Arabidopsis thaliana: one gene and its partner. The main gene of each other region encodes a partner of the protein of the gene in region 2 in a complex. Each region holds a gene or a part of one and is shown on either strand. Other genes may lie near its edges. A codon is read from its position in the direction of its gene.

Evidence for each region.
Region 1: the proteins of CPC (region 2) and EGL3 are in contact, whole or in part, in a crystal structure (PDB 7FDO), measured with the Arabidopsis thaliana proteins. Residues at the interface, in NP_182164.1 of Arabidopsis thaliana: Glu41 (codon at 4,626), Glu42 (codon at 4,629), Leu45 (codon at 4,638), Arg48 (codon at 4,647), Met49 (codon at 4,650), Lys51 (codon at 4,656), Leu52 (codon at 4,659), Val53 (codon at 4,662), Arg56 (codon at 4,671), Leu59 (codon at 5,193), Gly62 (codon at 5,202), Arg63 (codon at 5,205), Pro65 (codon at 5,211); in NP_001185302.1 of Arabidopsis thaliana: Tyr81 (codon at 6,457), Leu84 (codon at 6,466), Ser85 (codon at 6,469), Pro108 (codon at 6,538), Glu109 (codon at 6,541), Asp113 (codon at 6,553), Trp116 (codon at 6,562), Leu119 (codon at 6,571), Val120 (codon at 6,574), Ser123 (codon at 6,583), Phe124 (codon at 6,586), Ser153 (codon at 7,221), Leu160 (codon at 7,242), Leu161 (codon at 7,245), Lys163 (codon at 7,251), Ser164 (codon at 7,359).

The regions. Positions count from the first base shown.
Region 1 is NC_003070.9:23,593,781-23,606,227, forward strand, and holds EGL3 (basic helix-loop-helix (bHLH) DNA-binding superfamily protein), read left to right. Parts: upstream 1-5,632; 5' UTR 5,633-5,870; exon of another isoform or gene 5,871-6,023; 5' UTR 6,024-6,028; coding exon 6,029-6,147; intron 6,148-6,335; coding exon 6,336-6,608; intron 6,609-7,156; coding exon 7,157-7,253; intron 7,254-7,358; coding exon 7,359-7,430; intron 7,431-7,512; coding exon 7,513-8,250; intron 8,251-8,371; coding exon 8,372-8,791; intron 8,792-8,882; coding exon 8,883-8,954; 3' UTR 8,955-9,384; downstream 9,385-12,447. Other genes in the region: AT1G63640 (P-loop nucleoside triphosphate hydrolases superfamily protein with CH (Calponin Homology) domain-containing protein), read right to left, coding at 1-203, 560-658, 771-922, 1,239-1,359; AT1G63660 (GMP synthase (glutamine-hydrolyzing), putative / glutamine amidotransferase), read right to left, coding at 10,347-10,470, 10,923-11,098, 11,193-11,324, 11,416-11,791, 11,872-12,122. UniProt on the Arabidopsis thaliana protein: Transcription activator, when associated with MYB75/PAP1, MYB90/PAP2 or TT2. Involved in epidermal cell fate specification. Negatively regulates stomata formation but promotes trichome formation.
Region 2 is NC_003071.7:19,044,399-19,054,617, reverse strand, and holds CPC (Homeodomain-like superfamily protein), read left to right. Parts: upstream 1-4,248; 5' UTR 4,249-4,432; coding exon 4,433-4,511; intron 4,512-4,584; coding exon 4,585-4,672; intron 4,673-5,185; coding exon 5,186-5,303; 3' UTR 5,304-5,597; downstream 5,598-10,219. Other genes in the region: WRKY46 (WRKY DNA-binding protein 46), read left to right, coding at 9,864-10,102, 10,200-10,219. UniProt on the Arabidopsis thaliana protein: Transcription factor. Determines the fate of epidermal cell differentiation. Represses trichome development by lateral inhibition.

The DNA of each region.
Region 1 (12,447 bases), on a different chromosome or scaffold from region 2:
ATTTTAGCATCAGACATATCAATCTCAGATCCTTCCTTCGACTGGAATCCATCAGTAAAGTTGCGGTCATCTCCTCTTGAATCTGAGTGGTCCTCTGGCAAGCTCCATCTCCTCCTCGCAGCTAGTGAGTTCTTATCATAACTACCATCGGAAAAACTGGCTTTAAGCGCCTTCAGGGACTGTAAAACTGGCACCATATCCCCCTGGTTTTTACTTTTTATTAGGATTCATAACTCAATAGAGAAACACAAAAGAGGACAGAGAGAAGAAAAGATATGGGAGCAGAAATCATGCAAGCTTATCATCAAAATAGCAAGTCAGACAAAAACCATGATCAGAAAAGTGTTGCACCCAGAAGTGTTTAAAACGAGGCTAATTTTAATCTAAACATATGCCTACACAGAATTGGTTCGACTCATTAAAGGAAAAGTGGCAATACGACAACCACTTCATCTATATGACATGGATAATTCTATGTAAACCAGCATGTCTTTCCATATTTAAGAAATCAACTTTTTCCACAGAAATGAAGAATAATATCCATGAAAACATAACAGACCTGTTCTATATCTGAAACTTCGAACCTAGGCAGGGCCATTTCATCCATAGCAGTCAGAAACCGCTCAATTTTTACACTGGCAGGCTCAAAGCTGCCTCCCTATAGAATAACCAAAGAGGATTAGTCAAAAAAAGGAGGGTTTGACAAAAAAAAAAGGGGTTAGTCTAGCAGCAGATAAGTAAGTGAAATGGTCATGAAAATTCGTAAGTACCATTCTCATTGACCCAGGACTAAGCTGATTTAAAAGGCTACACAAGACAGTTCCATCCCTCAAGCATGCTCTCAGTTCGTCCTCTGAAGCTTCCCATGGTAACTTCAGATAAGGAAGTGTCTCATTTAACCACTCAACCAAACTCTGATGACCTGCGGGAAAAATTAAGAAGAAATAGACAAAGAATGAGAAGAAAAAACATCTAACCATTTCCCCTACACCTAATATGAGAGGCGATTTTTAAGGTTCATTTCTGCAACGGCTCTGTTGCAATATAACAAACCATGTAAAGCAAGAGAAATCGACTCATTCAAGATAATCAATTATACTTTTCCATATTCGCTAATCATTCGAATAATCCTGTCATAACTCAATTTCTGAAAGATAACTGTTTCGATCTTTAGATGAAATGAGAGGATATTAGCGTTCGAAAAGATAAACAGCAAACAAGGGAGTAGATAACGTTACCTTTCTTACTGTCATCCATACTTTCGCGACTTTCTGATCCGTCAAAACTCAGCATGCTAGACACATCTGATCGAACATAGACACCATTCATATTGGCGTCCTGTGACAGATGACTGCTCATTTCAACTCAGAGATTACGCGACTCCCAGAATTATAGTAGCGAGAAGACCCTAAAGCAAATGAACCAATTAGCCAACAACAAAGTTAGCATCAATGTTAATTGGTTTCACATATACTTCCTAATTCCTAATCCATGGTTAAATCATGAAAGACCTTACTTCATCATTCTACACCAAATCCTCATATGGTAAAATACCTATCAAATGCTTTCAATTTCAGATAAGACTAGTTCCCCAATTAAAGAGATAAACAGCCAAAATTTGCTTTAAATTGTAAACAATGATGAAGTTTGTTCAAACATTTCAACATCTCGCTTAGCAAATATCCACAATGTCGACCAAATCAACCCATAAAATCAGCTCTATATTCCACCAAAATCACGCAGATCCAGTCAAAAACCCTAAGAAGCCAACAACGCTTTTGTAACACAGAGACGAAGGCCAAAAAAAAAAAAAACGATACGAACCTAAAACGCCATAAGGAGAAGAAGAAGCTTGTAGATAAACCTCTCTATAGTGTAGACGACGGAGAATGAAGACTGCTCCTATTGAAATGCTACGGAAAAAAAAAACTCAGATTCACGGCGAGAAATTGGAGGCGGAAGTTTGAATCCCTCGCCGGAAGAGAAAAAAATTCGAAATTTTTCCCAGTCGCACGATTTTGCTCACTGTTCCTCCTTTTTTTCCTCTCTTTTATTTCTTTTAGATTCCAAGAAAAACAAAAGGCTAATTACGGTTCGAATTTCGAAAAAAGAGAAAATTATGTTTTTTTCCTAATTGTTTGATTTTGATTTTGCTTTACGCTATATGGTCTTGGTGGGCCCTACCCTCGTTATAGAAAATTAGAAATAAGGTACTCTCTCGACTTCCCGCTTTTTCCCATCCAAAATTCAGTTTGGAGATATTTCAACTTTTCATATACGACCCAATATAGTTTCGGCCCATTTGAGCCCAAATATTGAAGGCCCGGACTAACTGGATCGGATGTCCATCAAACATTTGAACTAGTATGCCTAATCTTAGCTACTCTATTCAAATAAATATGATCTGTTTATTATATAATGCAGTATATAGTTTAGAGATGTTGGATTTCAGAATTTTATTATAGAAACAAATAGATACTTAATTCGGTTTTTTTATAACTTGAATCATATCGTTAAACATCGAATTCCACCATTAAATAATAATGGACATTGGAAAATATGTGTTAGCTTATACATAAGCCTATTTTTATGATTAAATTCAGTAAAATTTTTGTTAAAATGATTTCAGATTAAGGATAACTAATAATTTATAAACAAAAATAAAAGATAATCAATTTTAGCTTCGTGATCATTAATCAGGTCAGAGAACGAAAGAATATCTTCGGATCTGTTCGAGCTTAGAGTTTATACCACAACAAAGTTGGATTGCCCTGATTGACACATACGTAGATAGTGTATATATATTGCCATGTGCATATTTCTATTTTTGCCATGTTCATGCGTGGCTCCACTATGATCATCCATAGAACGTGGAAAATAGTGGTGGTATAAAATAATGAATTAAAATAAATAAATTTTAATGAGATAAAAAGCAAGAGAATGTGGTTAATTACAACATCATATCATATGTAGTAGGTCGTAATATTGATCGAATCATGAATTCATAATTTGTTTATGACCATACACGTGGTCAATAATTTTAACGGAATTCAATTTGTCAAACAACCCTGACTACGTACCTAGCTGTTTTTCAATATCCTTAATTCATTCTAGTGAAAAAGATTGAGTTAATTAAATAGTTGCATATATCTCTTATGCAAAAAAAACATTTGATAACGAACAAGTTGTATTTTAGTATCTATTGCTTGTTTTAGACGTATAAACGAATTTTAGTTACATTGTGCTTACATTTTCATATTTTGATCAGTTTCTTGTTTTTTTTTTGTGTGTGTGTGTGTCAATTTTATCTAACTACCGTAAATCAAAATGTTTGGTTGATGGAACATAGCTAAAAATCCGAAACTACTGAATAGAATCTAAGTTAAACACGTATATATATATATATATATGTAATATGTGAATTCAAATGGAAATCTATTGTTTGTGTACGTATACGTAAAAAGACAATCTATTTTATGATGGAAAAAGACAATATATATAAGACAATGACAGAAGATCCAACATACAGGCATTACGTGAGAGGTCCCATTCAAAGTGACTCTGAATTCTTAGGCACTTTCAATAATTCGAATTTATACAGGTCTCAGAATTATAAGCAAAGCTTATTGAATGGGTTAAAGGAATTAATTTAGATATGAATTTTGGTTGGTTTTATAATTTATGATGGAATCAAAATCATAGAGAGTGGCTCGCGCTGACAAAGTTATTAATGCTAAATTAAATAAACTGGACCCCAAAAAATGGACTGTTCGATCACTCTTTTTTTTTTTTATCAACAGTAGACTCTGTTCCGTGCAATTAATGCGAGCATCTCTTTCATTTTACTTTTTCAATATTTTGTTTTTATTTCTATTGTGTGAAGAATTTATTTATATTTTCAGTCTCGATAAAACAATGCATCATCATCTGCGGCGTTAGATATTATAATGAAAGATTTATTAGTTGTGTACTAGCTAATGGTTAATATGTCATATGTGTAACAAAATGAGGTGTATATTTAGTTTGTTTTTTTGTTTTTTTGTTTTTTGTCCAATGCATTAGAAGTACTGTCCAGAATTGTAGTATTTCACTACATTTTTATAGTCAAATTATATATATTAAGCAAAAGTCAAAATGACCCTTTTTGAGCTGAGAGCCGGAGACTATAGGCTACAGAATCTAATGTTTGCGTGTGTTCACGATGACCACAGTGTAACTAGATGACATATCTTTTAGGAAAGTAACGAAAAAAATAATCAGCAAAGAAAAACTATTTAAGAAATTACTGAAAACACAGACGTTCACGTTGATATAAATGTACAAATCTTCATTTATCAGGTTATTATGTTTTATGAATCATACAGTTAGTACATGAAATAAACAATATCTGACTCCGTTTTTCAACGTACAGACACGACAAGTAGTCCTAGTTAGGGGTGATAATTTTGGGAGATGCGAAGAATTAATTAAGAGCATGCACATAGCATATGATAATAATGACTCTTGGTTTCTTCTTTATTAATCATCTCATTTAAATATCATTTTCTCGTGATTTTGATCAACATAGGTTGTTACATAGCTAAACCCATTATCAATCCCTTACCTTAGAATTGAAGTCAAGGAAGAATACTAAACCTTACATTATCTTTAGATCCCAAATTCACTCGTTCTTGATAACCTTATTGTCTAACTCCATATATAATTGGCTCGTGTACGCATCTTTAATACAAATAATTTACGAGGTTGCGATTAATTAAAATGAAGGTGCATAGAAAATTAATTAGCAATTATACAAATGTTCTATGGTATTTCCGAAGATTCGAAAACAATGTAGAATATATATATTCAATGAACATAGTATATATTATATTTTAGTTAAACCATACAACGTAATTTAGTCAATACTAGAAGCTTGTCTCTCTCTCCAGGGTATCTCCTCGAGGCATAACATTAATTTCATGTCTTTCTTCGTGTTTCACCATTAGGATTTGTTCTATCTTAAAATCAAGTTAATATTTGTGTATATATTTGACCAGTAAGGCAGTAACATATAAACATTGCTTATAAGGGTGGCAAATTGGTTTGGTTGGATTTGTAAGTGTTATGCCTATGAATTTTTTTTTTGGTTCAAACTCTGCTTAAAGTCTAAAGACCTATATTATGAGTTACTAAAAAAAGTTATTTCCTCCGTTTCAAAATATAAGATGTTTTAAATAAAAATATAAAAATTAAAAAATCAAAATATAAGATGTTTTAATTAAAAATATAAAAATTAAAAAATATTTTTTAAAAAATTCAGCAGATTATAAAAGCTGATGCATAATATAAATATGTATACAATATTAAATTAATCTATAATTTACATAAAAACTTGAAAATATTTTATATTGTGAAACAAACAAATTTCTTCAGAACATCGTTTATCATGAAACGTAGAGAATAGGACATATCATTGATAGAAAAAAGATTTTAGAGATGGAAAAATAACTAATTTCTCTTAACAAAAATAAATTTCCAAAAGGAGAGTGGTGCTTGGAACACCGTATTCAAAAGGGTTATACACTAGACACTACTTTTTTTTTTTTTTACCATCTTGTTTTATATATATTTATTTAAAATTCCTCGTAAAGTTCAGTGTTTTGTGATTATATACAGTGTACACACACCTAAAATAAGTATCCATAAAGAGATTTGGTCATTCGGACACCGTCCTTTTCTCTCAACTCAAAGCTCAATTCAACCACAACAGATAGTAACTTGAAAGTCACAAATATTTAATATTTTCCCATTATAGAAGGTTAAAAAAAATAAATATATTCTGGGTTTTGTTGTCTTCTTCTTTCTTCCTCAGGAAACCAAACCAATGTCATGTAAAAATCACTAACTCATGACTAGTCATAACCTTTAAATCACTTCTGCTTTTTTTCTGTTTCTCTTTTGATTTATTCAAAGACAACAAAGTTTTGTTTTTGACAAAAAATCTGATCTTTGTTTGTTCGTTTGTTTGTTACATGGGGATGAAGAAACAATGGCAACCGGAGAAAACAGAACGGTGCCGGACAATCTAAAGAAACAGCTCGCAGTTTCAGTTCGAAACATTCAATGGAGTTATGGAATCTTCTGGTCTGTCTCTGCTTCTCAACCAGGGTACAATCTCGTAATCTTTATCCTTCAAATTAACTTTTCTTGAAAATAAAGTTTTGTTTGAGACATTCTTGACTTTAGTCCAAAACTCAGATAAAACTTTATCCTTACTTCAAGATTTCGATTTTTGTTATGTTTTCTCGATTAATCCAATTTTTCTTGGCTATCTTTTTTGTTTTCTCTAAACGAAGAGTGTTGGAGTGGGGAGATGGATATTACAATGGAGACATAAAGACAAGGAAGACGATTCAAGCAGCAGAAGTCAAAATTGACCAGTTAGGTCTTGAGAGAAGTGAGCAGCTTAGAGAGCTTTATGAATCTCTCTCCCTCGCTGAATCCTCAGCTTCCGGTAGCTCTCAGGTCACTAGACGAGCTTCCGCCGCCGCTCTCTCACCGGAGGACCTCACCGACACCGAGTGGTACTACTTAGTATGCATGTCTTTCGTCTTCAACATCGGTGAAGGGTAATTCCGTCTCTTCCTCATAATCCTTTCATTTCACCTTTTTTAAAAACAAAAACCTATCTTTCAGAAAAATTTCTTTTATGAAGAATATCGTTTTTAAATTATAGTATTATTTTATTCGTAGACATTATAAGAAAATGTAAACGATACCAAAATTCTAAAAAAAAAGTATAAGGGTATGTTTTATTTTGTCTCATAAAAAAAGACAAGAACACCCTTTATTAGCTTGTCTCCTTCATTTCTTCTTCCATGTGAGCTTATTCAGAAATCCGACATGTACGAGTTTAATTATTAACAATGCAATTATCCTTTATATTTACTTAATTTTTTTTATGTTTGTAGGTTTTTTTAAAGTATACCTCTTTTTAATCTTAGAAGACATACATAGATAGAAATGCGAAAGCACAACGGAAATAAGTTTTTACTTCATTTGCATAATTGCATTATACATTTGCTATTCAAAGAAAGTAGTAGAAAACTTTTGTTCCCATTAAGATAAAGATTTTGAGATACAAAACATAAAGGGTATTTCCGTCTTTCTAATGTAGAATCCCCGGAGGAGCGTTATCCAATGGAGAACCAATATGGCTTTGTAACGCTGAAACCGCCGATAGCAAAGTCTTCACTCGTTCTCTTCTAGCTAAAGTAAGTTTTTTGCAATTGGAAACGCTAACGCTAGAATTCAAGAACGCTATAACTGAAAACGCTCTTTTTTTTTTTTTTTTTCGTTTGGCGTTTTGCTCTTTAAAGAGTGCTTCGCTTCAGACAGTGGTTTGCTTCCCGTTTCTTGGAGGAGTCCTTGAGATTGGCACGACCGAACATGTAAGCCTATATTTCCTATTTTTTTTCCAACACTATCAAAACATTCTTAAAAGTACCCAAAACTTATCTTTTGTTCTTTTAGATTAAAGAGGACATGAACGTGATACAAAGTGTTAAGACGTTGTTCCTTGAAGCTCCTCCATATACTACAATATCGACAAGATCAGACTATCAAGAAATTTTTGATCCCTTAAGTGACGATAAATACACTCCGGTGTTTATAACCGAAGCTTTTCCAACAACTTCTACTAGCGGGTTTGAGCAAGAACCTGAGGATCATGATTCGTTCATCAACGATGGTGGTGCGTCTCAGGTACAAAGCTGGCAGTTTGTGGGTGAAGAAATCAGTAACTGCATTCACCAATCGTTAAATTCAAGCGATTGCGTTTCCCAAACGTTTGTTGGAACAACCGGGAGACTTGCTTGCGATCCAAGGAAGAGTAGGATTCAACGGTTAGGTCAGATTCAAGAACAGAGTAACCATGTAAATATGGACGACGATGTTCATTACCAAGGCGTGATATCGACGATTTTCAAAACAACGCATCAGCTAATACTCGGACCGCAGTTTCAGAACTTCGATAAGCGGTCTAGCTTCACAAGGTGGAAGCGATCATCATCTGTGAAAACATTGGGAGAGAAATCGCAGAAGATGATAAAGAAGATACTCTTCGAGGTTCCTTTGATGAACAAGAAAGAAGAGTTGTTACCGGACACACCAGAGGAAACCGGGAACCATGCCTTGTCCGAGAAGAAACGCCGCGAGAAATTGAATGAACGGTTTATGACATTGAGATCAATCATTCCCTCAATTAGTAAGGTAACCGATTCTAGCAAATCTGTTTCAGTAACGTTTTATGTTTATTTCTTGATAATAGGAAGACATGTTTAAATATAATGCTCTGAAGGAACTAAGCTTGAGTCTCTTGCTGATTCTACAGATTGATAAAGTGTCGATTCTTGATGATACAATTGAGTATCTTCAAGATTTACAGAAACGGGTTCAAGAGTTGGAATCTTGTAGAGAATCTGCTGATACAGAGACACGGATAACGATGATGAAGAGGAAGAAACCGGATGATGAGGAGGAAAGAGCATCAGCGAATTGTATGAACAGCAAAAGGAAGGGGAGTGATGTGAATGTAGGAGAAGATGAACCAGCTGATATCGGTTATGCTGGTCTAACGGATAACTTAAGGATCAGTTCATTAGGTAACGAGGTGGTTATTGAGCTTAGATGCGCTTGGAGAGAAGGGATATTGCTTGAGATAATGGATGTGATTAGTGATCTCAACTTGGATTCTCACTCGGTTCAGTCGTCAACCGGAGACGGTTTACTCTGCTTAACTGTCAATTGCAAGGTACAGTCATTAAACCAAGCTTGATTTATGTTACTCAACCGGAATATGAGCAAACCGAAATGTGATATGTAATGTTTAATGTTGATTGCAGCATAAAGGGACAAAAATAGCAACAACAGGAATGATCCAAGAGGCACTTCAAAGGGTTGCATGGATATGTTAAGGATTCAAGGTTTAGATTTGACAAAATTAGCTTTTTCTCTGGTTTGGTTTCCCAATTTTCGGTAATCAGTGATTCTAACCGAGTTTTTGTGATTTTGAAGTTTTGGAAGATCCTTAAGAATTCTTGAAAAATCGTTCCTTTTGGCTCATTACGTAGGAGAAGACAATAAGAAATTACTTACTTAGCAATTAGCATACTATGAAATTCAATTATGCGAAATATGAAAACCACTCGTAGTAGTTCGTGCACTATCATTTTTAAAAGTAAGTAAACTAGAACTTTTTTTTTGTTGTTGAAAGTAACTTTTGTATAAGTATTTGTAACGAGATCATATTTTGTGACTAGTTCAAGTTCGACCAAAAACATTATAGTAAAATCTAAAGAGATACTACATAGCCCGATTCCAGTATCTTAAGTCTTCAATCTCACTTCAAATATTCTTTATATGTTTTTAGAAAAGTTATGTAAGAAATTAAAAAAATATTTTTAGAAAAGTTAAAGATAGAAATGGTGGTCAAAAGCTGATAAAAGTGTTCGCAAAATACACTGCCTTATAGAGAAAAGAAGTAATGTCATTTCAAATAATTGCATCTAACGCCACTGAGATCTCACTTCAACATGTGTTACCATTTTAACATTAACTTTTTATTTCAAAAAGAAAGGAAGAAAATTGTAAGCACAAGGACTATACTGTATTTGGATTTCGTTTGGTAGCATCAAAGTAACACTCTCATTTTAGTAAGAGGTTAACTTTATTGAAAATACACATAATGTGGGGTTAGAAATTGTGTTGAACAATTTCTTGATTTAGAACGAAACTTAAAAAGAGTGGAAATTCTTTAATGGGTTGGTTGGCATGGTAGGTGGCCATTAAGAAGATCCATGAATTGGTGAAGTTGAGGTTTATATCATGTATTAGCCTCGGTATATAGTGTGTAAACCTTGATATTTAGTATGTAGAAGTATGACTATAGCTTGTATAAGCGCGGCCATATCTGAACTCAGATTTTGCTTATATGAATCTGGCTACAAGAAGCATTTGTAAATATGGTAGTTGCAAACTTTCACCTGCAATATGTATAAAGCTTAGGTAGAAGTGCACAACACAGTAATCTAAGTACATAATGAAGCCTCTTATATTGTGTAAACACAGGTAGATAATAATGCACTGAGTCCCTTTTTCGATTATCCACCCAAATTGTATGCAAGTTTTTGGTATGATTTGTATCACCATCATCATTGCTCATCTAGTTCATCAGAAAACCATTGTCTACTAATAATAGTAATAATAAGCACCGTCACAAATTCACCATCATTGTTTGATGATAATCTATTTTACATGGTAGAAGAATTGCAGACACCCATAAATAAAAGACTCAGTATATGTTTTCTTTATTCCCATTCGATGGTTGAAGGAGGCTTTGATGTAATGTCTAGAACCACACGGTTTACTCCTTGAACGCTGTTACAGATTTTCCGGGAAACATCGTCCAGAAACTTGTGCTCAAAATTGAACCTGCAGTTTATTTAAACATTACCAATCTCAGCCAAAGTCACAATATAAACTAGCGTTTTCATTTGCACCGCAAGTTTTCTAGTCAACAAAAATTGCACCAATAAAAGTAAGATTTGATACACATACTTGTTATCCCTTAGAATCAAGGTACCTCTATTTGTACTCAGATCAGATAACGAGTCTTAAATATTGCAACACAGCAAGTAATTACTGTTTAACTTTTACTATCCGATCTATTTAACCGGTTTTAGACATCCTAGATACCTAAATACATGACTTTAAACACTCCAACACCTAAGCTAATCTGTCCTGAAATCTCAACCACCCAAGTACTCAGACCTAAAATACCACATGGTAGATCTAAACCTCAAGTATTCACATCAACACAGTAATAAGTTCACGATCAAAAGGGTTTCTATATGCATCGGTACTAGGAAGTGTAAGAAGCTTACCAATCTGCGGTCATTCCATCTTGGCTTGTAACTGCACGAAGAGCAACAACATGAGAATGTGTTCTCTTGTCACCTTGGACTCCAACTGATCTTACAGGCAAGAACACTGCGAAAGCTTGCCAGATCGAATCATAGAGACCCGCATCTCTGATTGATTGAATGAATATCTCATCAACCTGAGAAGATGGGAAAATAAAGATGAGTTTGGTAAATGGGTAAGGGCACAACCAAAAAAATTATACAGCCAGTTTGAGATTTTAGAGCACTAGCCTGACGAAGAACCTCAAGGGCGTTTCCTTGGGTGACATCGCCCAAGACTCTAACTGCGAGTCCTGGACCGGGGAATGGGTGACGCTTCAAGAACCCTACCGGCACATTCAAGATTCTTCCGAGCTCACGAACCTTTATTGCACAAAAATCAAGTGAAAGATCACAAACCAAACACTCAACAGTTGCAGACAAGAAAGATAGCAAAAAGACAATAGTAACACACCTCATCTTTGAAGAGAAGCTTGAGGGGTTCGATGAGCTTCAATTTCATGTCTTTAGGGAGTCCTCCAACATTATGGTGACTTTTGATGGTGTGAGAATGAGTCCTATCAGTACCCGGGGGAGGGCACGACTCAATCACATCAGGGTACAGAGTCCCTTGAACTAGAAAAGCGGGTTTCTTCCCATGCTTTTTCTCTAACTCTTGGGCAAATTGATCAAAAATGTTGATGAACTCCCTCCCGATTATCTTTCTCTTTGTCTCGGGATCCACAACGCCTTTAAGTTCACTCAAAAACCGCTCGGATGCATCAACACAAGTAACAGGTAGATGCAAGTCTCTCTCAAAGGTATCCATCACACGTTCTTGCTCCTTATACCTACAAAAGGAACCATTCTCAATTAAAGAAAAAACAAATTAAAAGTGCATATCAAATTGAAAAATTGCTTCTTCTCTAACCTTAATAGCCCGTTATCAACAAAGATGCAATGAAGCCTATCTCCAATTGCCTTGTGAACAAGAGTTGCGGCAACAGTAGAGTCTACACCTCCTGACAAGGCGCAAATGACATGTTCGTCAGATGCAACGGTTTTGTTAATCACTTTGATCTCTTCTTCCATCAGATCTTCCATTTTCCAATCCGCAGATACTCCACACACATCAAAGAGGAAATGCCGAAGTGTCTCCATTCCTTTTGGTGAATGTGTCACCTGCAAAATCCAACAAAAAGCTATTTCGTCATAAGCTAGAAATCAACACTTAACCAGCACATCATTTACAGACGTTCACGAGTAATTCTCAATCAATGGACTAACAAAACATCAACTAGAAGTACTATATTCACTAAATATCCAATCCAAACTATGATACTACATCAAATTCTCCAGTCTATAGAAGCAAACTAGCCTACCATTAGATAGCTATGTCAATAAAATTGAAGTCCTTAGTTACGATTCAGAAAAAAATTTCACTTAGGAGAGAGCCACAGAACATGAACTAAATTCTCCAAAGTCCAGTATGCCAAAGATCCAGACT
Region 2 (10,219 bases):
AGAATCTAATAAGTAATAAATAATTAATTCATAAAGTTACCATCTTCAAACTATACACACAAAACAAGAATAGTTCATCATCATTCCTATTAAACAAGTTCACAAAAAAAAATTATGTACGATGAAATGAACTATTGAGATAGTAAATCTCTCAAGTAATCCAAAACACAACATGGTCCTGTCTGCATCTAAATCACACAAAAAAACTACAGTCAAATGTAAAATAAATGAACCTTAACTCAAGAAACTTTTACCATTTCTAGATTTTGGATAATCAAATTAGAAGGAAATCGTTAAATCAGGAATCTAAGAAATCAAACAGATCTAGCAAGAGTATATAGCAAAGCCATCTCTCTAACTACTTCTTCAGAATTCAAGCCGAGAAAAGCAACAGGAAAATTCAATAAGATTGTGTGCAGTGATTAATCATTATCTAACAATAAAGAATAACACGAACAGATACTCTCTAATTAAATATTAGAGAATCTACTAAGCTTTACAAAAAAAAATGTCCACGACAAAGATCAACGAGAAGATCCAAGGCGGTTTCACCTAATATTCAAGATTCAAGTCACAAGCGAATCCAAAATGCTACACTTCCAAAGACTGGTTTTCTCGACGAATTTTTGAGCCCTCTAAAGATTCAGAGCTAGTAAAAACAACACAAACTTCCAATAAAATTTTGAGTGGATTCAAGAAAACGACGCAAACTTCTGCGGAATCTGAAGAAGATGCGTCGGAGAAGTTCGAAGAAGCAAGATCCGGCGTAGGTTGAGAAACAAACAAAAAAAGACAAGAGCCAAGAGTTAGATAAAGATTTTGCTACGCCATTACTCTCATAAGCGAGCTTGGAATTTTTAAGTCCTATCAAAAAAATTGAAATGAAAATTTGGAGCAAGTTAGAAGCAGAAGAAGAGACGGAGACGTCCGCTGGGGAAGGAGGAAAAAGAATCTCACCAGCAACCAAAATTTATATTAGTAGTTCCTTCTAGTTACACTATTCTAGTGTTTTTTACTTTGCTTCAAAAACTATTTCCAATGATATGAGTAAAAGAACTTTTACCGGATTTTTAGTTTAGTTTCAGTTTGAGTTTTAAAGTAATGGTACGTTTCTCATTTAATACGATTGAGTTTAGAATTAAATTCGGTGTTTAACTATAAAAGGAATAGTTCTGTTTCAGTTTGGTTTTTACGGAATGAGTAGTACACAACTTAATAATAGCCTGGCTTGGCTTCACTCACGACTCACGAGATATAGTAGCGGCGGTGAAAGTAGCCAATACCTTTTTACTTTCATAGCTTGTAGAGTATTTGCAAGGAGCGTAATCACACTATAATCGGAAATTAATTAAAAAGTTAATGTCTTCTAAGAATATATGCATGTAGTTTATGCTTTGGTTATAATGTTATAAGGTGTTATTTATGATATTCCAATTTAAATTAAGAAATGAATGTATAACAACAGCTAGTGAAAGCTAATTTGGCAAGTTGTTGAGTGTTGTTGGGTGTTACGAGATGTCATGGACCTCCACTGTACTCTCAGTCTCCAGGAATAGCATCTCTTTCTTTCTCTATTTTTATTTTATTTTTTTATGTTTCCAGGACCACTTTAGTTTTATTTACTTTTCTCTAATGCAAAATGGTTCAAAAATCAGAAGAATATTTCATATCATACAAAATCTCTTGATTGAGAGCTTTAAATTTCTTTTTCTTAATAATTTTGGTACAAATATTATATGTTTATGTATGTGTAACTGTGTATGTTATGTTATTTTCGTACTAGTTTATATCAATAATTATCTATTGAGAGATCTAACGAAACATATCGATTGATTTTAATTTATTACATGTGATTACTGTGTATATAGTGACAAAATAATATTTATTCAATATTTTACAAACGTGTTAATTTATCTATATACGAAATTTTTAGATGTAAAATTTCTTTTTGTCGTTGTATAAAGAATTGTGTGCGTATAGTACTTTTAAAAATATATAATTGATTGAAATTTACTGAATTTTGTTTTGTCAAAGAAAGACATATAACTTTTTTCAAGACATTTCAAATGAATATATAACTTCAAAACTCTGAATGCTTCTATTTTGTTACTTTGTAATTATCAAAACAAGTTGGTATTAATTGTTTTTGTCATTTATACAATGAAAGTGAATTATTCTCTCTAATAATGTTGTTACAAAGCTGAGTAATACACTATGGACACTGAAGCCGGCTCACGAGCTAAGTACTCGACCACGTGAACCCATTTTAAAAACTGTGACTTCTTTAATAGAAACGCATGAATTCAATGAAACAGACATTTTCATTCACCAATTATATTTCGTTAGTTCCATTAATCTGTGGACCCACCAATGAGAAAAAAACGCTAATTGAAAACAATTAAAAACTCCATAAAATAAGCTCGAAGTTAATATCCATTGACTACACGACACGTGTGATAATTACCGGAGAAATTAACGTCGGGGAAACTGGCCGCCGCGTGGCATACAGATGCTGACAAATTCAGACGGGAACGGTGGTAGACACGTGGCAATAAAAGACAGGAGGAGCGTGGAGGGTGCTTGACCATTTATCGCCTTGGAATTTGAGACTTTTAAGGGGCAAAAACGGTAGCTCACAAGTCAACACTTTTGATAATCTTTTTGCCGTTTCGTATAATTCAATTCAAAAGTTAATGTTGATAACCACGTAAACACTTCTTAAACCGACCAAATAATATAATTAAAGATTTGATTGATTGATAAGCTTTTGTGTTTTCTTTTTCTGTTGTTGTGCGTGTCAACGTGTTGTACTCTCCGTAAACATTCATGGGCCTTTTCAAGTAACTGCTCAAGCTGGCCGATAGCAATTTAAAATAATCAATAAGCCCATATTGTTTTTGAATAGGCCCATGGCTTATTAGGGCAACATATAACGCTTTAACCACTTCGTCATGAAAAAACCCATACAACAACATGCAGCAACTAACATTCAACATAACTGTTTTCATTAGCATATAATGTACGAAAACATGCAACTTATCTCTATAAACTGTTAGATCATGTACTTAAAAATGCATAGATTAAACGTTTTCAATTTATCATAACATGTACCACACAAAAAAAGTAGCTAGAGCAGCTATTCATCTTATAGAATATATAGACGTATCTCACCTTCGCACTGCAGATCTTATACAAATCTTTTTAAGAAAATGAAAAAAGGGGGGCTAATCTCATATATTCTTCGAAGTCTTTTTGGGTTATTAAATAGCTTTAACCACCACATGTCATAAATAATTGTTGTTAGATACTTGTCTGATTCATGCCTTTTTTTTTGCGAGTCAAAGCTTTGTATACAACAAATGTGCTTCTTTGCTCTTTCGTCTCACTCCATTTAGTCAAAAATTCCATTTGTGATATAAAAATGAATAGATGAAACCTTGAAATATGTAATGAAACCGGTCTCGAGATGTGGTTAAAGCATATTTGTAATCAAAAATATATAATTAATGAAGAAAAACAAGTACGTTTTCGGACCACATCGGACCAGTAGAGGCACACAACCATACGGGTGTTGTGCCCACTTTTGACGACATTACCATCAGACCAAAGGAATATATGAAAGATACATAGAGAGAGATATGTTCTCGAACTAACTATTTCTTTTTTTACCCTCTTCTGATTATAATATTATTTTCCCGTTTTGCTGTTCTCTTCTACCAAACTTTCCTCTTATATCAAACTTTCAAATCGAATTCCTGAACTTTATATCACAGTCCTTATTTGTTTTCTCTTGCAACAAATGAATTTTTTTGTTATTGTTGAATAGTTATATTTTTAAATAAGTAGCTTTGACAGAATGTATATTTAATGTAGAATAGCAAATAAACTAGAAACAAGAACACATATAAGGGACATACTGGTCATTTCGAAAGTCAAAGCCAGAGGAGAAGCTACTATTTCTCCAACTGTCTGTAAACGAGGAATTTTTACAACCGCAAGTCAAAGGATTTAAAATAAGTAGTTATGGTTGTATCTGTCGTTCTTCTTTCTCTATGAACTAAAGGCCGTTGGAAGCAACACACACACACACACAGTGAAACACTACAGTTTACAGATTCGTTTTCTTTAGCTCAATCGAATTATATTATTTCTTAATCAGTCAATATTTAAATAATGGAGGATGATGATAAGTATTAAATAAATAATTATTCTAGGATTAATCAGACATGCGCAGTTATATAATAATCAGTTTGATTTTCTTTTCCTTTTCGAGCCCCTCTCTCTCTCACTCTTTTCTTTTCCGAGAACCCAACAAAAAAAAAGCTACTATTAATCCTTCCCCTCGTGAGGAAATCATTTCTTCTTGTTTCTCGAGATTTATTCTCTTTCTCTCTCTCTTTCTCTGTGTGTTTCGTGTCTTCAGATTAGTTCGATGTTTCGTTCAGACAAGGCGGAAAAAATGGATAAACGACGACGGAGACAGAGCAAAGCCAAGGCTTCTTGTTCCGAAGGTCTGATTTCTCTTTGTTTCTCTCTATATCTTTTTGATCGGTTTGAGTCTGATTTTGTATGTTTGTTTCGCAGAGGTGAGTAGTATCGAATGGGAAGCTGTGAAGATGTCAGAAGAAGAAGAAGATCTCATTTCTCGGATGTATAAACTCGTTGGCGACAGGTTAGAGACTCTTTCTCTCTCGATCCATCTTGTTGCTTTCTCTTTTTTTTGGTCTTTCATGTTTTGTCGAATCTGCTTAGATTTTGATCTCAAAGTCGGTCGTTTATTTATGCATTTTCTTGGTTTTTCTATTATATTATTGGGTCTAACTTACCGAGCTGTCAATGACTGTGTTCAGCCTGATTTTTGATCTTGTTATTATTCTCTGTTTTTTGTTTTAGTTGTTCAAATAGCAAAACCTAATCAAGATTTCGTTTTCAGTTTCTTTTTTTATATATGATTCTTTAGCAAAACATATTCTTAATTTATGTCAGAACTCACTTTGGCTAGTTTGGTTCAATTTTGATTACAGCATGTTTGTATGAAGTCAAAGTGTAAATTACGATTTTGGTTCGGTTCCATAGAATTTTAACCGAATTACAAACTTTATGCGGTTTTTATCGGAATAAAAGGTATTTGGTTAAGTGTAAGTTCCTCAACACTGACTGTTAGCCTATCCTACGTGGCGCGTAGGTGGGAGTTGATCGCCGGAAGGATCCCGGGACGGACGCCGGAGGAGATAGAGAGATATTGGCTTATGAAACACGGCGTCGTTTTTGCCAACAGACGAAGAGACTTTTTTAGGAAATGATTTTTTTTGTTTGGATTAAAAGAAAATTTTCCTCTCCTTAATTCACAAGACAAGAAAAAAAGGAAATGTACCTGTCCTTGAATTACTATTTTGGAATGTATAATTATCTATATATATAAGAAGAAAAAATTGCTTAGGAATTTCAAATTTTTACCAGCCTCCATCGACACATGATATATCCCTCTATAGAAGTATAGTATTAGTAGCTGTGATTTAATGAGATAAATCACACTTTTCTAAAGTCTGTTTTCCTAAGATCGACTGTAAATTTTAAATTTAACTATGTTCGCTATTTTATCCAAAAAAAAATTACTGTTGTTCTTTCATACAAACAAACAAAGGTGAAAGGTCTCTCTTATTTCTTCTGCATAGGGGAATGCTTAAACTGAACCCAAGATGGTTTATTTTTTCGTGATCGGAAATGAGAATCTGTAAGTGGCCTACGATATGGGTCAACGAGGTAGCTCATTTATATGGGCCATAAAGAAAGCCCATTATTAAGTTGAGACTTTTAAGATAAAATGTTTCCACGGTCAACGATTTTACAACAGTAGAGACACATGCATGCCGTTTAGATATTTGGTTTAAAACAATCATACCGTTTCACTGTATGTGTGGCCTAATGCAAGTGTATGCAACTGTTATTATTTTTTGTTTTGCTTGCTTATTTTTGAATAGCTTCTGTTACCTGCCAAAAAAAATACCACGATCATTACGAATTATCCATCCCAATGCTAAAAAAATTTGTTGGTAATGAAGCGGAATTAGGGATCATCCCATATGATATTAATTGTTGTTCCTCTGTTGTAACATTGTTTCATTCTCTTGTATTCACTAAAGAAAATAAAGATTCAGTAGCGTCATCGAATATATAAAATGCAAAGTTTCCTTTTATTCAATCAAGGAAGCATATATATCTACCCTTTGTGCCCATCCTTTTTAATTCTTTGGATTGAATATAAAGATTCAAAACTATACGATTAATGACGTGGTAAAATTTACGATTAGTTCCAAAAATTCCCTGATCTCTCATTGTTTATTATCATTTTATCTCCCCCGTTACACATGCAATTGCAAACTACATATATCCATATGCTACAGTATTAACTAAGTTTGTGGCCAAGATTTTTTTTTCTTGCGCATAGCAACGCTGAGAAATCCGACAACTTTAATCTAAAAGACAAATACAATGAAAGTGTTAAGATGTTTTCACACGTGCTTATCATCTAACAGGACTTTCTGCGTTCACACTTGGCGTGACTAACACTTTGATTTTTTTCAATTGCATTTGGCTGAAATATGAGCTTAATTTCTATATAAACTCTTCCAGTACCAAACAAATTCAAACTCATATGCTGTTTGGTTTCAATGTGTTTTTTGGTACTTAGCTTATCTTAAAAATCTATTTAACAAAAAAATGATTGTTTTCTATCTGTCCTGTATGGTCCCAGACACTACTATCTTGTCAAATTGAGTATTATTTAAAGTGTTTTTCATCACATAACCTAAGAAAATAATTCTATTTTTATTTTTATTTTATGAATTTATTCTATAAAATTTTCATTGGCCAACATACTAAAACAGTAAAAACAAAAAATAGAAATTTTATCAAATACATGCATTGAAACATAAATGACAGTTAAACAGCTTAAAATGACACTTTTTATAAACATATTTCAAATTCTGAAATGACGCTTAAATTGAAACAGAGAATATCAATCAAGACCAGTAATTTCAACAAATTCACATGTAGATGTAACTTACTAAATACCCTTAATTAAATTCTATTAAGGCGTAAGAGTTTTTATTAGTCTCAAAAGTAATTTTATTGTACAAATTAAATTTAATCAGCATATGAAGTGACATGTGGGTCTCTGTATAAGGAGAGTTATATCTTTTTCAACACGCACCCAAAGTCCAAAGACCTTTCGTGGAAATTACCAGACAGTTTCCAAAACTAAATGTAGATTTTTATTTTTGTTCAAAGAATATTTCATCGGTGTAGGTTTATTTTGGTAAATATTCCAAAAGTTTCAATAACGTTTATCCATCCCATCGATAAGAAGATATTGTGTTTGAAAGTTTTCTTTCCTTACGATACCATAACATGTACGGAGTTATAATTTTGATGTTTTTTTTTTGTATTTTGCTCTAAAGCATTTACACCACAATCCTGTTAATACAAGATAATCTTATTAAATTATGGTTGGACATGAAGGTAATAACAACTGCTCTCATTTGACAGCATTCTGTTAAGTGTTAATCGTCTTTCTTGAGTTTTTCGTCAAGCTATGATCTTATCATTTCGATGTTGATATCTAGCCGATGTAAATAAGTTAAAGACCATTCTGGTAACGGTGGACTAATGCATGCATTAACAAGGGAATGTTCTTTACATAAACAAAAGCAGATGATAAGACATCATTTGATTTGAGAAGAAGTTGAAAACATATTGTTCAATTTATAATCGTTAGTTGTTATCAATTCAAAGCAAGCTAAGAGCAGCCCAAATTAAGATAATAAACCCTTATGGCACTAATTAATCATAGATAGTCCATACATGCTTGAATAATTATTTACTAAGTGTGATTAAAGCTATTATTTTTATCACAAAAGGCATGTGCATGTATATACGCCACTCGGGCATTTTACTGAATTTAGTTTTAGTCATAAATTATTCCCTTGACCAGACGCGTTAAACAAGCGACGCGTCGTAGAATAAATATTTATCTTCAAAAGAATTTATATTATTTTTCTACTAGTATTAAGGAATTAATTAAGTTCGACTCAGCACAGCAGCCTCTAAAATATATTAATTTGGAGTCAGAAAGCTACAAAGTTGATAACTGAGAAACATAGGATATAGTACTACAGTAACGTGGATATATCAATATATTATCTACGATATTCACAATTTTTAAACTGAAGAATTCAGTACGATGAATATGGCAAATGCATAAGGTTAGATTTCATCTAAATTCACACAAAATTTGTTTGTTCGACGAACAAAATTTGAATACATAATGGCCACGATGCTCTGCCATTAATCATGGATGTAAGCGCCATGATTAAAAATTTCATTTTACGATTTTTAAGGTAAATCGTTATGATACGGAGTATATCATTATTAATAAATAATAAAACAGTTTGTATTCCTTTAAATTCTTTTTTTTGTTTACTAATTATGACTTAATATAGTATTACTTTATAAAATCACTGTTTTAAATTTTATTAAATGCATTTATTCCGTATTATATATTAACTGTGTTTTTGTTTTTTTTTTTAATTTTTGGTAAAGTACTAACTGTGTTTTTTTCTGTATCCTTCTGTAGTTCTGTTCGATTCTATTAAAAACCTATATACATTGGTGAATAGAATACTACAACATATATGGATGATGGATCATAGTGATTACGAATTTAAATCATATTAATAATTAATGATAATACGTCACTGTCAATTGTGTGAATGAAAAAGACACATTGGTATATTTTCTCAAAACTACACCTGCATGGTTTGATACTTTTTTGATTTGATCCATAGATTCTTGATTTGCTTGTTAGGGCCACTAAAATTTGATTAATTTCGATCTTTGACCCCCTAAAAATATAACTAACTACATAATCAACATCCTATATAAAAAAATGGTTGATAAAATATATGTAAATCGAGTATAGAGTATATATATGCAAATACATGCAATAAATGACTATATATTGGTAATTTAAAATAAATAACTCTTTTGTTGTAAATAAAACCCATAATTTAGCTACCTTAAAACTACAATTTAAAATTCGAAATAACGCAATAATTGGGCAATTTATGACATCACGAGTCTTCACGTCAGCGAAACAAAAGAAAGACATTCAATTTCAACCGAATCTAACGCGGCAGGACGTCTTTGAAGAATATTGTTTATTGGTTCACTCGTCTGAATAACTATAACTTTAATTATTATTTGTTAGTTTTTGTAGATAAAATAGGATTAGCTTAACCGACTTAGTGAGACTCACCATATATGGGTTCTATTAAGATTGGGGAGTTAGTTGACGATTTATAGATAACTTGATATGATCATTAGTCTGTCTAATATATAAAAATTATAGACCGAAAATAATAAGATAAGAATTATAGTTGCTTAATAGGTATGGAATTAGCAACTACATTTTTTTTTTATCAGAAACGAGTAACCCCTAGACTAAAACATTCCAATTTTATTTGTAATATTTTAAGACAAATTTAGCAGTTTTATACTATTTTATATATTCTAGCAATATAAAAAAAGAGTGAAACACTAATAGTCTCCTTTATGTCAATTTCTCTCCAAGATCCTTCTCTTTTCCACACAACTTCTGGTCGAAGATTGAAACCAATAATAAATACAAAAATAAAAATTAATACTTATTGTCTAAGCACAAGGACGAGTACCATCATAGAATCTCCATCATTCATGTCTATAAATACATCTAGATACTCACAGACGAAACTCACATCTCCCACCAATCTCACTCAAAAGAAAATCTAAGAAAAGATTCTTAATTTTCTGAAGTGAATGCAAAGATGATGATGGAAGAGAAACTTGTGATCAACGAATTGGAACTAGGGAAAGAGCTTGCTAACCGATTGATGAACAATCTCAAACACACTTCTTCTGTCGATTCCAACAAAACCTTGATCTCTGATATCCTCCGTATTTACCAGAATGCCATTTTCATGTTGAGCTTCAACCAAGACAAGAACATCCTTAAGCGAAGCCTTGAGATCGATGGAAAAGATTCTAAAAACGTCTTCAAAAAGAGGTAAATTGAGCTAAAAGATTGGTTTTTTGTCTCTCTTTCAGTTCCAAACTGTGCTCATGTGTCTGATTCCTCTGTTTTTTTTTTTGGTGATTTTCAGGAAAGTATCGGAGAAGAACA